3 linked regions of the Bombyx mori genome follow. Each later gene encodes a partner of the first gene's protein in a complex. Links are inferred from orthologs where the notes say so. Each region holds a gene or a part of one and is shown on either strand. Other genes may lie near its edges. The genes, in order: GATOR complex protein Iml1, GATOR2 complex protein WDR24 and protein SEC13 homolog.

Region 1 (3,759 bases):
CTTCTAAAGACTTAGCTTTATAAAAAGTTCTTGAAAAGAGAACTATGGTTACTTCATGATTACTGCCATTTTTCTGTAATTAACAATATGTTTATTGAAGTATATTATTATGAATTTGAGCTCAAATGCATTATTATATTATTTAAATTTTATTACCTTCCATTTGGCAAACAAATCAGCGAGGAAACCATTAACTGCCTTTTCAAAGTACAGATCACCATGGATGTCAAAATCCCACATTTCAGAAGACATTTGAATGAAGAGGTAGACCATTGAAGTTGATGATCTGAACACTATTTTTGTGTCTTCAGTGATTACCCCACAAGCAACTCTGTCCCCTTGTGACCACATTTCATATACTTGACATCTAATTGCACCACCACAATATTCTATCTTCTTGTTTAAATAAACGCAGGTGCTTACCTGGTGTAAATATTTTCAGAAATTTATATAAAACAGACAAATAATTCTGTGATATTCTGAGGCAAAACTCTTTTAGTTAGTAGCTTAATTTTTTTTTTCAAGTCATTGACATAATTCAATTTCCTTTCATATTTAATCTTACATTTTTATTGTTATTAAATAAAAGTTACATTTATAGTAAGAGTTAGTACAATTTTAATAGTCAATGAAGACCTTAGTCTTCTGTGACCATGAAAACTGAAAAATATTCCAAATATTAGCAATAAAATAATGACAATAAAATTAAAGTGTTTAAACCATAATAGTATTACAATGAAATTTATAGTGTTTTAAATATTACTAATTTTTATTTCCATAAATGGGTGAATGTGCTCATAAGCCCTGGAAGTGTCAAGTGGTTACTGGAACCCTTACAAATGTCACTATGCCCCCACCCACTTTGAAACATGATATCTAAGTCTCTATTGTTTTCACAGCTTTTTTTATAATCCTACTTCTTCATCATAAAGTTTTTTATGAACACAAAGTAAATATTTTCTTAGAAAAGATTAACCCATGATAGTCAAGTTGCTTGATACAAATTTACTTGGCATTTTGTGCTTTAAACCATGAAAAATTTACACATTTCAACACTGCAGAGGTGGTATTTTACAAATTACCTTGTAATTATTTGAAGCTTCAAGCAGAGCATAAAATTTTCATAAAGGGATAAAAAATAATTTGGAAATGGTACTAAAATTCTAGTAAAATTAAATTTTAGTACCGATTTCAAAATATTTTTTTGTATTAATTTTAGCAGGTAATTTAAATGGTTTTTTTCTTTCTGTAAAATAATAATGAATTTGCTTACTAGGTGATTTTTAAGTCTCCACATTTCGGATCTTCCGAGATATTGGTCTTTGAATGTTAATTCCACTGAATCCAAAGCCACATCTTGCACATTGACTATATTTACATAGACATCAGCAAACGTTCGGAGTTGGAAAGTGGTAGCAATACTTTGTTCCACACTAATTGTATCTAAAAGTTAAAGTTTTTAATAAGCATCAACATTACTTTTTAAGGAATCTATCTAATATTATAGATACAATAAGGAGTGTGTTTATTCAGAAATATTATATTCAATGCATGTATTGTCACACCATACAAGTACTTTATCATTAACACCATATTTTCATCTCATGCAGTATTGCTATTCAAACAGCTGTATCTCAATATATAGAACACTAACAAACTTGACAAGATAAGTATATTAGGAGAAATAGGATGAATATATTTAGAAATAAAATATTTTGAGGGTATATTGGTTTTTTTTTTTCACTTTTAAATAAAATAACATTCAACCCTTACCTAAGATTTTTCCTATATGTTCCATACATATGGAAAACATTTAGGCAGAATCTATATCAGAAGTAACTTTCAAAGTGTATTTTTTATTAATAATTAATCATCTTAGGACAAATTATTATTTATGAAGAAGAATTTTTGTGTCAAGTTGAAATGGGATTAATTATAGAACAAACAGTTTTATATTATTTAAAACAATTGTATGTTAAATTTTTTTGCTGCTGCATATGATATACGCAATAAATTTGGGAACATAAAATAAATGCACAGCTTATTTTATATTATATTACAAGAATTTTTGATTAATTTTATATGTTATTGCTTACCTCTGCCGCGTCCGGGGGCGTCCACTTTTGTAACTTGTAGTAATAATCGGGGGTAGTCATTTTCGGGATGATAAATTTCGACTATATCTTTTTCCTTTAACCCTGGATAGTCTTTCAAGTTGATAATCAAATCTTCGGCTACAAAAAATCATAAAAATTTTGAATTTGTATGCCCTAACTATAAATATTTGTAGGTAGATGTAAAAAAGCACTTACGGCTAAAACTAGACTGATGTACAATGAGTTTAAAGGACTTCATTGTCGTATTTCTAATATTTCAAATGGCATGTTTTAAATGTTTCTATTAAAATATTCACGTAATGATATTAGTAAACATTAACGGTAAGTATGCATGCAGCACAAACAAACAAACACCATGGACAGCAGGCAGAGAACAATATTGAATGCATAGACAATTCGCAAAATTTTTATTGTTCTACGAATTTTTTTAAAAGGGATTTTATGACCTGGCAACTAAGACCTTTAAGTCTTTTCACTCCTCGCGTTCCCGCCAAAAAGTAAGTTCTACGAAGTCATTTTTTTTTTTTTTTTAATTTATTTATTAGCCGGATACAAAGTCCATTGGCACTTTAAAATAAAGGTATAACAAAATATCTTACACAAATAACTATACTAACTTAACATTAAATACAATCAAATTATTTAAAACAAGGATGAGCTTTAAATTTTCTCAACCGTGTTTTGGAGTTTACTCCTTTAGAATCGATTTACATATATAGGCCCGGGGTATGAAAATTATGGGGACCAAAATCGTACTAGCATGTCACACGAAATGCGTTATGCGCCTGATTGCGCATGTCACACGAAATGCGTTATCGCAGGTGACGCCGGGCTGCTGCGCCGGCAGTCCGCCACAAAGCCTCGTACTGATCGCGCGTTTCTCTCATTATTGTATTTTCATATATTTGTTAGTCGTTTGTTTTGTGTCTCGTTAATTTGTTAATAATCTGTAGTGTATCGTGTTGTCGTAATATAGAACTATTTCTCGTATTGTTTCGTTTAATTTTTTATATCCAGTCCAGTTTTTTAACTCCAGTCGTGCGTCGGAGCGGACACACACACTTTTTTTTATATAATAGTAAATAGATTTAAATAAAACTGGACATTTCAGTAAATCTTGGACACGGCGGGGAATTTCTTTTTGTGATGGTTGACAATGTTGACATTGATGACTACCATTTGCATTGAGTAATGAGTCTAAAGCTGATCTTGTCGGGTTATTTGCTAAAGAATTTCCATGTTTAGTTTGATTATTCTCATCAAAATCCATCAATTTCATAATATCTGTTACTAGTATTAAACGTTGAAATTTAAAAGTCGGGCAACTCAAGAAGAGGTGGGATAAGTCGGCCTCATTTCCTCCACAGTATGTACATCTGTTATTATCTATAATTTTAAAACGAAATAAATGGCTTGGAGTCTGACAGTGGCCAAACCTCAAACGATTAATAATGATTATAAATTTACGTTCCTTGGCTCCTTTATATTTATCATACCATGGCTTACTTGGAAGTTCTTTTTGGATTTCTGCATACCAACTGCCTTTATGCTTTGAGCATAATTTCCAATAGCTTTCCCATAATTTGCGACTTCTTTGTTTTAGGTCAAAAAGAAAGTCCGTAAAAGGAACTCTGCATGAATT
Region 2 (3,659 bases), on another chromosome or scaffold:
CACCTCCCACACGTGCCCCACCTGCAAGAGCCAGTCCCGCACGCGGTAACAGCGCCGCTAGTGTCGCCACAGTCCCGGGGAGTGGGTACGCACCATGTGCCGGTTGTAAGCTCTGGCGACCTTGGCGTTGTGCTCGGCGAGCTCGTGAGTGGGGAGGCCTCTCATCTTGTACTCCTTGGCGCAGGCCACCACGCAGCACGGTGGACGACCCTCGCCCGAGTACCTGGTGAGGATGGAGGCGGCGCCCCCGGGGAACAGGCGCTCCAGTGCGGCCTGAGCCTGCGGACGCAGCGAGCCTGCGGTCGGCTGCTTTCGGCTGAGGGGTTTAAATATATTCACCTCAATAACGTCTAATTAATGTGTACATTAATAGACAATAACAAAACAGTTTACAACATTGATACTTCTGTTTGTCAACAAACGTTCCCTTTTTTTGGCATAATAGCTGTTGACGGATTTTAGTATTAATTATCGCGGGATGTCCACACACAAATCGATTAAAAAAAAGTAAACGAATAGTGGTTCACGTTAGCGCCGTAGTGCCAGTTTAATGGCTTTTAAAGCCGAGAATGGTCAAACACCCTGTAAATGTGTAACGTGTCAATTGACATTGCCAACAGCCCGGACTGCGTTTACGTTAACTTAACTAAAATAAATAAAGTAAGTATATGAGGTGCGGTGCGGGGGTGCGTCATACCCGAGCCCAGGTACGTATCGGTCGGAGGCGGGGTTGGTGTGCAGCGCGGGCAGGGGGCAGTCGGGGGCGGCGTGCGTGACGTCACCGCGCGCGGACACGCACACGCCGTGCGGGTTGGCCCACAGCACGGGGTGCGCCGCCTCCGAGAAGCGGTGCCGGTACAGGCTGCAGTCCTGCAGGCACGTCACGTTCATGTCGTACCACAGATAATCCCCCCAAAAATTATAAATTATCCGTGTTTCATACGAACGCTCGATTAATATTACTGCTCAACGCCGATATTAGAAATGCCATCGGCGTATCTATTAAAGCGCAGTACTCGATGGAAAATCTACCTAATATTAATGACAGCAAAATTAACTCTTTTTCGACCAGCACCAGTTATTTTATATTAGAATATCGACTAAGATTCTTAACGGCCATAGATTAGTAACAATTCGGAGAGTTAGTCGACACAATATCTATTTACTCGGTTAAGTAGGACATTGGAAACAAAAGTGACTCACTGATTAAGCACACAAAAAACAGAACCCTTTTTTGTCAATACCTATATACTTTAATATTTGGGCTCGGAGCTCGTGGTCTACTAGGCCGTCATTAACTAAACCTTAATTAGAACGCTAGCGAAGCCTGGTATCCGCTGGAATCCAGAACCACCATACAGATGCGGAGCGCTCACAGATCAGATACGGAGCGAGAATGCGAGACGCGCATATTGCCAAGAGCTGTGCAGGCTCACCCTGCTGGTGGACAGGAAGGTGTTGGGGTCGTTCTGCCAGGCGATGGCTGTGGTCACGTCCCGGTGCTCGGCGAAGGTGGCGAGCGGCACGTGCGGCCTCCTCACGTCCCACACGTGCACGGCGCAGTCCAGCACCAGCGCGCACGACGCGACCTGGTACCTACACGTGCACTTGCCGCGTGAGCAGGGACCACGAGAGACCAGCTCGTATTGATCTTAAGGCTTCGTCAAACAGAACGCGTACATAGCGCGCGTCCGAACGCTAAACTGACGGCGCGCTATGATGCCGAGATGTGTTGTACTATTATGGTAATATACTGCCAAACATAGCGCCAGTGTAACAATTCTTCCACAACTGAATCACTCGACTACTAAATACATTTAAATTCTCACACTGCTATCGAAAGGCACTATGATTTGGCGGATGTTACGTTGCGTCAAGGAGCGTTGGGCTCGTCTAGTCAATTTGTGTGACGTTAAAACGCCGCGCTAAGTACGCGCTCTGTTTGACGAAGCCTTTAATCAGTAAACGTAGCGTATACTAACTTTTTCTGCGGTCTCCACTTGACGTGGCCCACGGACGCTATCGTGTATATAGTGTGCTCTAGGTTGGGCTTGGCGTGAATGTCCCATACCTATAAACACTACACGGTTAATGTAAACGTAATTAATTTTAATATAACCAGACAAATATGAGTTTCATTCGAAGCAGGTCGAGTCCAACGTTCTTTCTAGGCCCCTCCCGCGAGTGACTGGGTTTTGAGATAGTTGTTATATTTCAAATACAATTGAAACTTCAATATGTGTGTGCCGCATGTTCCGAACTCCACTGCCGATCCAACGGTTAGCTTTTGTAATAGGTAGACTTTATTCCGCATTTTTATTAGATAGGACGGGCAGCCAACTCACTACCCACACGACGTTAAGCGGAGCCTAACTCAAATCGTTAAGCCGTATTATCAACTTAAATGGACAAGTATACGTGTCATCCGGATCTTCTTCTTTTTCTCCACCTTATCCCACTATGTGGGGTCGGCACAGCTAATTTTTCTCTTCCATTCTCTTCTATCAGCCGTCATCTCAACACTCACTCCTCTCTCTCTCATATCGTCATTCACACACTCCATCCATGTCTTCTTTGGTCGACCTCTTCCCCCTCTACCTTGCACTACCATTTCCATAAGTGTTTCCTAAGTGTCATCCGGATCATCGAGATGAAATTCAGACGTAATCATTAACAGCTATTCATAATCAATTCGTTAACAATGAGTAGGGTTCAAATGAAGATAGCCTATACCTATCAGGGTTATCAAAGCTGACTTTAAATCGTCTCACATATCGAGACAAAGAAAATGAAGTTATAGCAAATGTTTTAAGATTCATTTTTACCTGCCGAAAACGGTACATTAGACGTTTAGGTGTTAGTATTAGGATCCTATCTATGTCTGGAAAGCGGTAGTTTAAATGCAACCGTGGTCTGTGCTGTTAGGTGTGTCTGCTTATTTATTATTGTTATTATTTTTATTACCCTTGTAGGCAGACGAGCATACGGCCCACCTGATGGTAAGTGGTTACCGTCGCCCATGGACTTCAGCAATCCCAGGGGCAGAGCCAAGCCGCTGCCTATTAAGTGTATTTAAGATTGCTTATAATTTCAAGATTTAATTAAGTGGAAATGAAGCTCTTATTTGCGCTTTAAGACCCGTACGCAGGCTAGCGAACTATATTCAAAAACGCCTAAAGCTAAAATCTGCTTATTGATTTGGAAGTGGTGACGTCGTAAGAACGCCATGAGTTCGTATTTTTTTTTTTTTTACCTGTGCTGATAGCCTTGAGAGGCTATTTCAGCTTCACCCTACATGTAGGTGAGCTCACGGGGCTCAAACCGGAGTGTTGCTAACACTGGCCCTGGCAAGAGCAGTGCTTCGCAGAATCTACCACCGGCGAGAAACTCAGTGGGCTTATTGTGTTATAGTTTATATATATAGTAGTCGTAGAGTGCCGGCAGAATACTCAGAGAATGCTTCTCATTATCCAGTGATCTCGTTAGTTCACAGCCAGAACATTAAAATGTAAATTTAGATCGTACATACAGGACCCCGACCAGCAGGCAACACTTGTATATTACAATCACAACGTTTGCACGTTTTAATGCTGATAAAATACTAGGTCGTTAGATAAGGGCGTCTGGCGTGACGTCACCAGTTATAACTCATCTCTGCA
Region 3 (3,759 bases), on another chromosome or scaffold:
CATATGGCAACATACTTTCCAAGGTGAAAAGTACATTTCTCTAATTTTTATTTCCATGTCAAGTATACATGTGAACTTTTCTCTTTAAACTAAAAATATCTCTTTAAATTCTATAAAATATACTATCAAATTGAAAATTATTGTGTACATTGACAATAGTGACTTCATCTCCTCAGCCCATGTTCAATACATACAGTAATAATAATCATAGCAATTTATTTAAAACCTGTTAGATATGTCACAACCCAATTATTGGATTATCAAATTGAATATATAGATTAAATCTGGGTTTTGATGAAGTTTATAAAAGATCAGTGTTAATGTACATATTTTATATTACTATTAGCAGATTACAAAATTAACAAATGAAATTAAAAGCAAATTCAAAGTGTGCTTCTTTCATCATTGGGTGTTTGGCCCAAACCTTTGGCAACTTCACTAATACATAACCACTGGCCATCAGTGCTCTCACGCCAAAGGCTGACTTTGTTATCTCCTCCTGATACAGCCAAGATGTTGCCAGTGAGAGACCAGCTAACACTCCATACTACATCATCAAATGTGTTTAATATTGTTGGTGTCCAAGATACATTATCATCACTAGACCATATGACAACCCTCTTGTCTTGGGAGCAGCTGGCAATCATGGAACGTTGTAATCCCAGAGAGGGTGCCCACGCTACATCTCTGACCCAATCAATGTGCAACTCTAATCTGTTCTCTTCAACCCATTGATCACCTTGCTCTCTCCAAATCTGAAAACAACAACCGGAATAACTAACTAAAAAAATTATAATTAAGAAGCATTATGATGTCATTAAATAGTAATCATTAAATACAGGGTTTATTAAGAACATATCGATAATAAAGGACAAGGTAATTTTAGGTAGATATATTAAAAAAATTCAACTAATTATTGTTGAAATATATCTATTTTCATTTAAAATTAACTAATGCATGCAATATATGATATTGTGAAAAGAAAAATTGCTGCCTTCTTTTTTTGCCTTATAAATAAATAACCCGGAATAAATCACACACATTCATCTGGCCCCAAATCAGGATTCTCTGTGGCGCAACAGTTAGGAGTGCTAACTACTGTAATACAGAGTCAGTAAACAATTAAACACAACTTGTAACATACCTTGATTAAATTATCACACCCTCCAGTAACTAATCTCTTTGGAGCATCTTTATTGGTAAGCGGATCTAAGTTCAAATCTGCAGATAAAGCTGGGCACCAACTAATAGAATTAACACCAATGGCATGTGCACCCGTTATCTTTTTTACGTCCCAATTACCAGTATCTTGTGAATATTGTATGATAGAGATTGAGCCATCTGAACTACAACAAGCGAGGATTAAGCCGTACTCAGCCGGCGCCCACGCAACAGAGTTCACAGAGCTTTCGTGTCCAGTGTATTCGTATAGTTTAGTCCACTCTCCAGACTCTTTCCATATGATAACTTTCCTGTCATAAGAGCATGACGCTAATAGGTTCCCATACTTGGGATGAGCCCAAGCTACCTGCCACACGGGGCCAAAATGACCCTTCAAATCAGCAGCCAATGTTTGTGTACCATTCTTAATGTCGTATATTTTCACTGAATTATCCGAAGAACATGTAGCTAGTTTTAGTCCGTAATAATCCAGTTCGGCGTCGTGTATCATATCTTCATGGCCGGTATCAATAGTATTCAAAACAGTGATCATTATTATATATTTTTATTAACCTACACAATACACAACGGAAAATGGGCAATCAACTGTCAAATCAGTTGACGTGGAATTTCAACAGTGCTACCAGTAAAATATTTTGTATCCATCCACACGAGCTATTTCGACATTGCAAAGACAGTCGCAGTGCGTCACCTCTAAACTTATTAGGTAAGTTTAACAATATAATAATAAAAAGTGGCAGAATTAAATTGCAGCTTCAACATACGCGACGCTACAACTGAATTATTCTTTTTATCAATTTTGTTATGGAAGCTAGAGATTTTCTTGATGATTCGAGATTATTGATCACATAGCTCCAACACAGTCTACAAAAAAGCACAAATATTTTAGTGCCAGAATGCCGCTCGTGTGTTAGAGGTCATAAATTACCTCTTTGGTATTATTTGTTAACCTTAGGTTAGCACAATCTTTGGTTAAGTTATTTATTTCTTTATTACTTTTTGCGCGTTACTTATGAAGTATCTCCCAAAAGTTTTAAGCATTTATATTTATAGCTAAACCTAAACTGTATGAAGATACTTTTATTGACATATCAAGACTAGGCCTCAAAAAAATTAAAAAATCTATGCTTTATGTAAGTAATAACCAAAGATTAAACACTGTGTCAGGTTACATTTGGTAGTTAACCAAAGATAATAAAGAGCTCTAGTAGAATCAAACAAAAATTCTGACAAGTCTGAAGCTGTTTTTTCTCTCATTCATCTAAATTCAGAATTGGATTGAAAATATTGATGAGCTAATTTACGAAAGTTTAAGAAATTATGAGAATTTCGTATCTGTAGACATCAAAATGTCTCAAAAAGAAGGAGGAATATTTTACAACATGCAATATTTATTACAACAAGATTATCGCGGGGTTAACGTATGTAGATAATTACAAGTTGATGTTGATAATAATAACTTTGTAAACGAAGCACTATCATCTGATTGTTGTTTACAGATAGCAGTATATGCTCTAGCCACCGCTGGTCTCGCCATATCTGTTCATAAGATTCGCCCTGTAAGTATTTGTTTAAAAAACCCTATATTAATAATTACATAACTATAAATAATAAAATTACTTCGATAGGTTAGCAAGTTTTCGAAAGCCAGTAAAGTTCCAGATCATTTCATCAGAAATCATGAACCTTTGAAAGGATTATATGCTGGAGTGCAACATTCACCAGTTCGTGTTCTGGTCAATCACAAAGCCCCAATATATTTACCGCTATGGCATTCCAGTAAACCTCCACTACCAGTTAAGGTAAATGTGATAAAAATATAACTTGTACGAAAATTTACCTACAAAGTAATAAAAATATTTTCTTTTTGTTTTGTTTTAGCTGTGGGGAATTGAAGTAGTTAGTGGGAATGCAGTCAATTGGCTGGAATGTGTTGCTAGGGGCCAGCAAGTGACATTAAAGCCAATCGGAAGAGATAATGATGATCTAGTTTCTACTGTATTATTGCATTTACCTCAGCCTAAGGTATATTTCAATTTAAACAAATTCAACAAAATACCTTAAATTATTAAAAATTACTCTTCAAAAATGTTTTCCATTTCAGAGTAAAGATGTTCAAACATTGGATATTGGTAAAAAATTGGTGGAGCTTGGATTTGCAAAAGCATCATTTCCTAAAGAATTAAAAAAGAATACCATTGAGTCACAAATTGCCCCTGCTCTATTATCAGCAGAAGCACAAGCAAAAAGCCTCAGAAACGGCATTTGGTCTGAGAATCTCCCACCAATTCCAGCATATATCGTTTATTGGAGAAAAGGTTCACAGCTTACTTTGGAGTTATTTGTATTGACAGCCAAGAAGTTACTGCAACTGTTAAAATTTACCACCAAAAGTGCTTTAATAGGAACAAAGAATTTAATATTAATTCCATTCAGGTCAAAACCTAAACAAGTACAAACATCATGAAATGAAAAACATTCGTATAAAGTCTAGTTCAGAAAAGAACCAAATGAGTTATTACAATTATAATTATTCGGTTTCTCTTCAAAACTAGTGATGTTCCTTCCATTTATATA

What was found.
Region 2: GATOR complex protein Iml1 (region 1) and GATOR2 complex protein WDR24 share a complex: the UniProt entries of both Drosophila melanogaster proteins name them as parts of the GATOR complex. The link is inferred for Bombyx mori from reciprocal best matches to the Drosophila melanogaster genes Iml1 and Wdr24.
Region 3: GATOR complex protein Iml1 (region 1) and protein SEC13 homolog share a complex: the UniProt entries of both Drosophila melanogaster proteins name them as parts of the GATOR complex. The link is inferred for Bombyx mori from reciprocal best matches to the Drosophila melanogaster genes Iml1 and Sec13.

Annotation. Positions count from the first base shown.
Region 1 is NC_085116.1:10,885,246-10,889,004, forward strand, and holds the start of GATOR complex protein Iml1, read right to left. Parts: upstream 2,511-3,759; 5' UTR 2,356-2,510; coding exon 2,313-2,355; intron 2,235-2,312; coding exon 2,097-2,234; intron 1,444-2,096; coding exon 1,274-1,443; intron 424-1,273; coding exon 157-423; intron 74-156; coding exon 1-73. UniProt on the Drosophila melanogaster protein: An essential component of the GATOR subcomplex GATOR1 which functions as an inhibitor of the amino acid-sensing branch of the TORC1 signaling pathway.
Region 2 is NC_085114.1:15,886,588-15,890,246, forward strand, and holds part of GATOR2 complex protein WDR24, read right to left. Parts: intron 2,072-3,659; coding exon 1,983-2,071; intron 1,597-1,982; coding exon 1,437-1,596; intron 871-1,436; coding exon 698-870; intron 317-697; coding exon 94-316; intron 22-93; coding exon 1-21. UniProt on the Drosophila melanogaster protein: An essential component of the GATOR subcomplex GATOR2 which functions as an activator of the amino acid-sensing branch of the mTORC1 signaling pathway.
Region 3 is NC_085131.1:3,993,935-3,997,693, forward strand, and holds protein SEC13 homolog, read right to left. Parts: upstream 2,532-3,759; 5' UTR 1,715-2,531; coding exon 1,145-1,714; intron 756-1,144; coding exon 384-755; 3' UTR 318-383; downstream 1-317. Other genes in the region: uncharacterized protein LOC101741756, read left to right, coding at 2,532-2,603, 2,682-2,741, 2,811-2,984, 3,064-3,207, 3,287-3,649. UniProt on the Drosophila melanogaster protein: Functions as a component of the nuclear pore complex (NPC) and the COPII coat. At the endoplasmic reticulum, SEC13 is involved in the biogenesis of COPII-coated vesicles.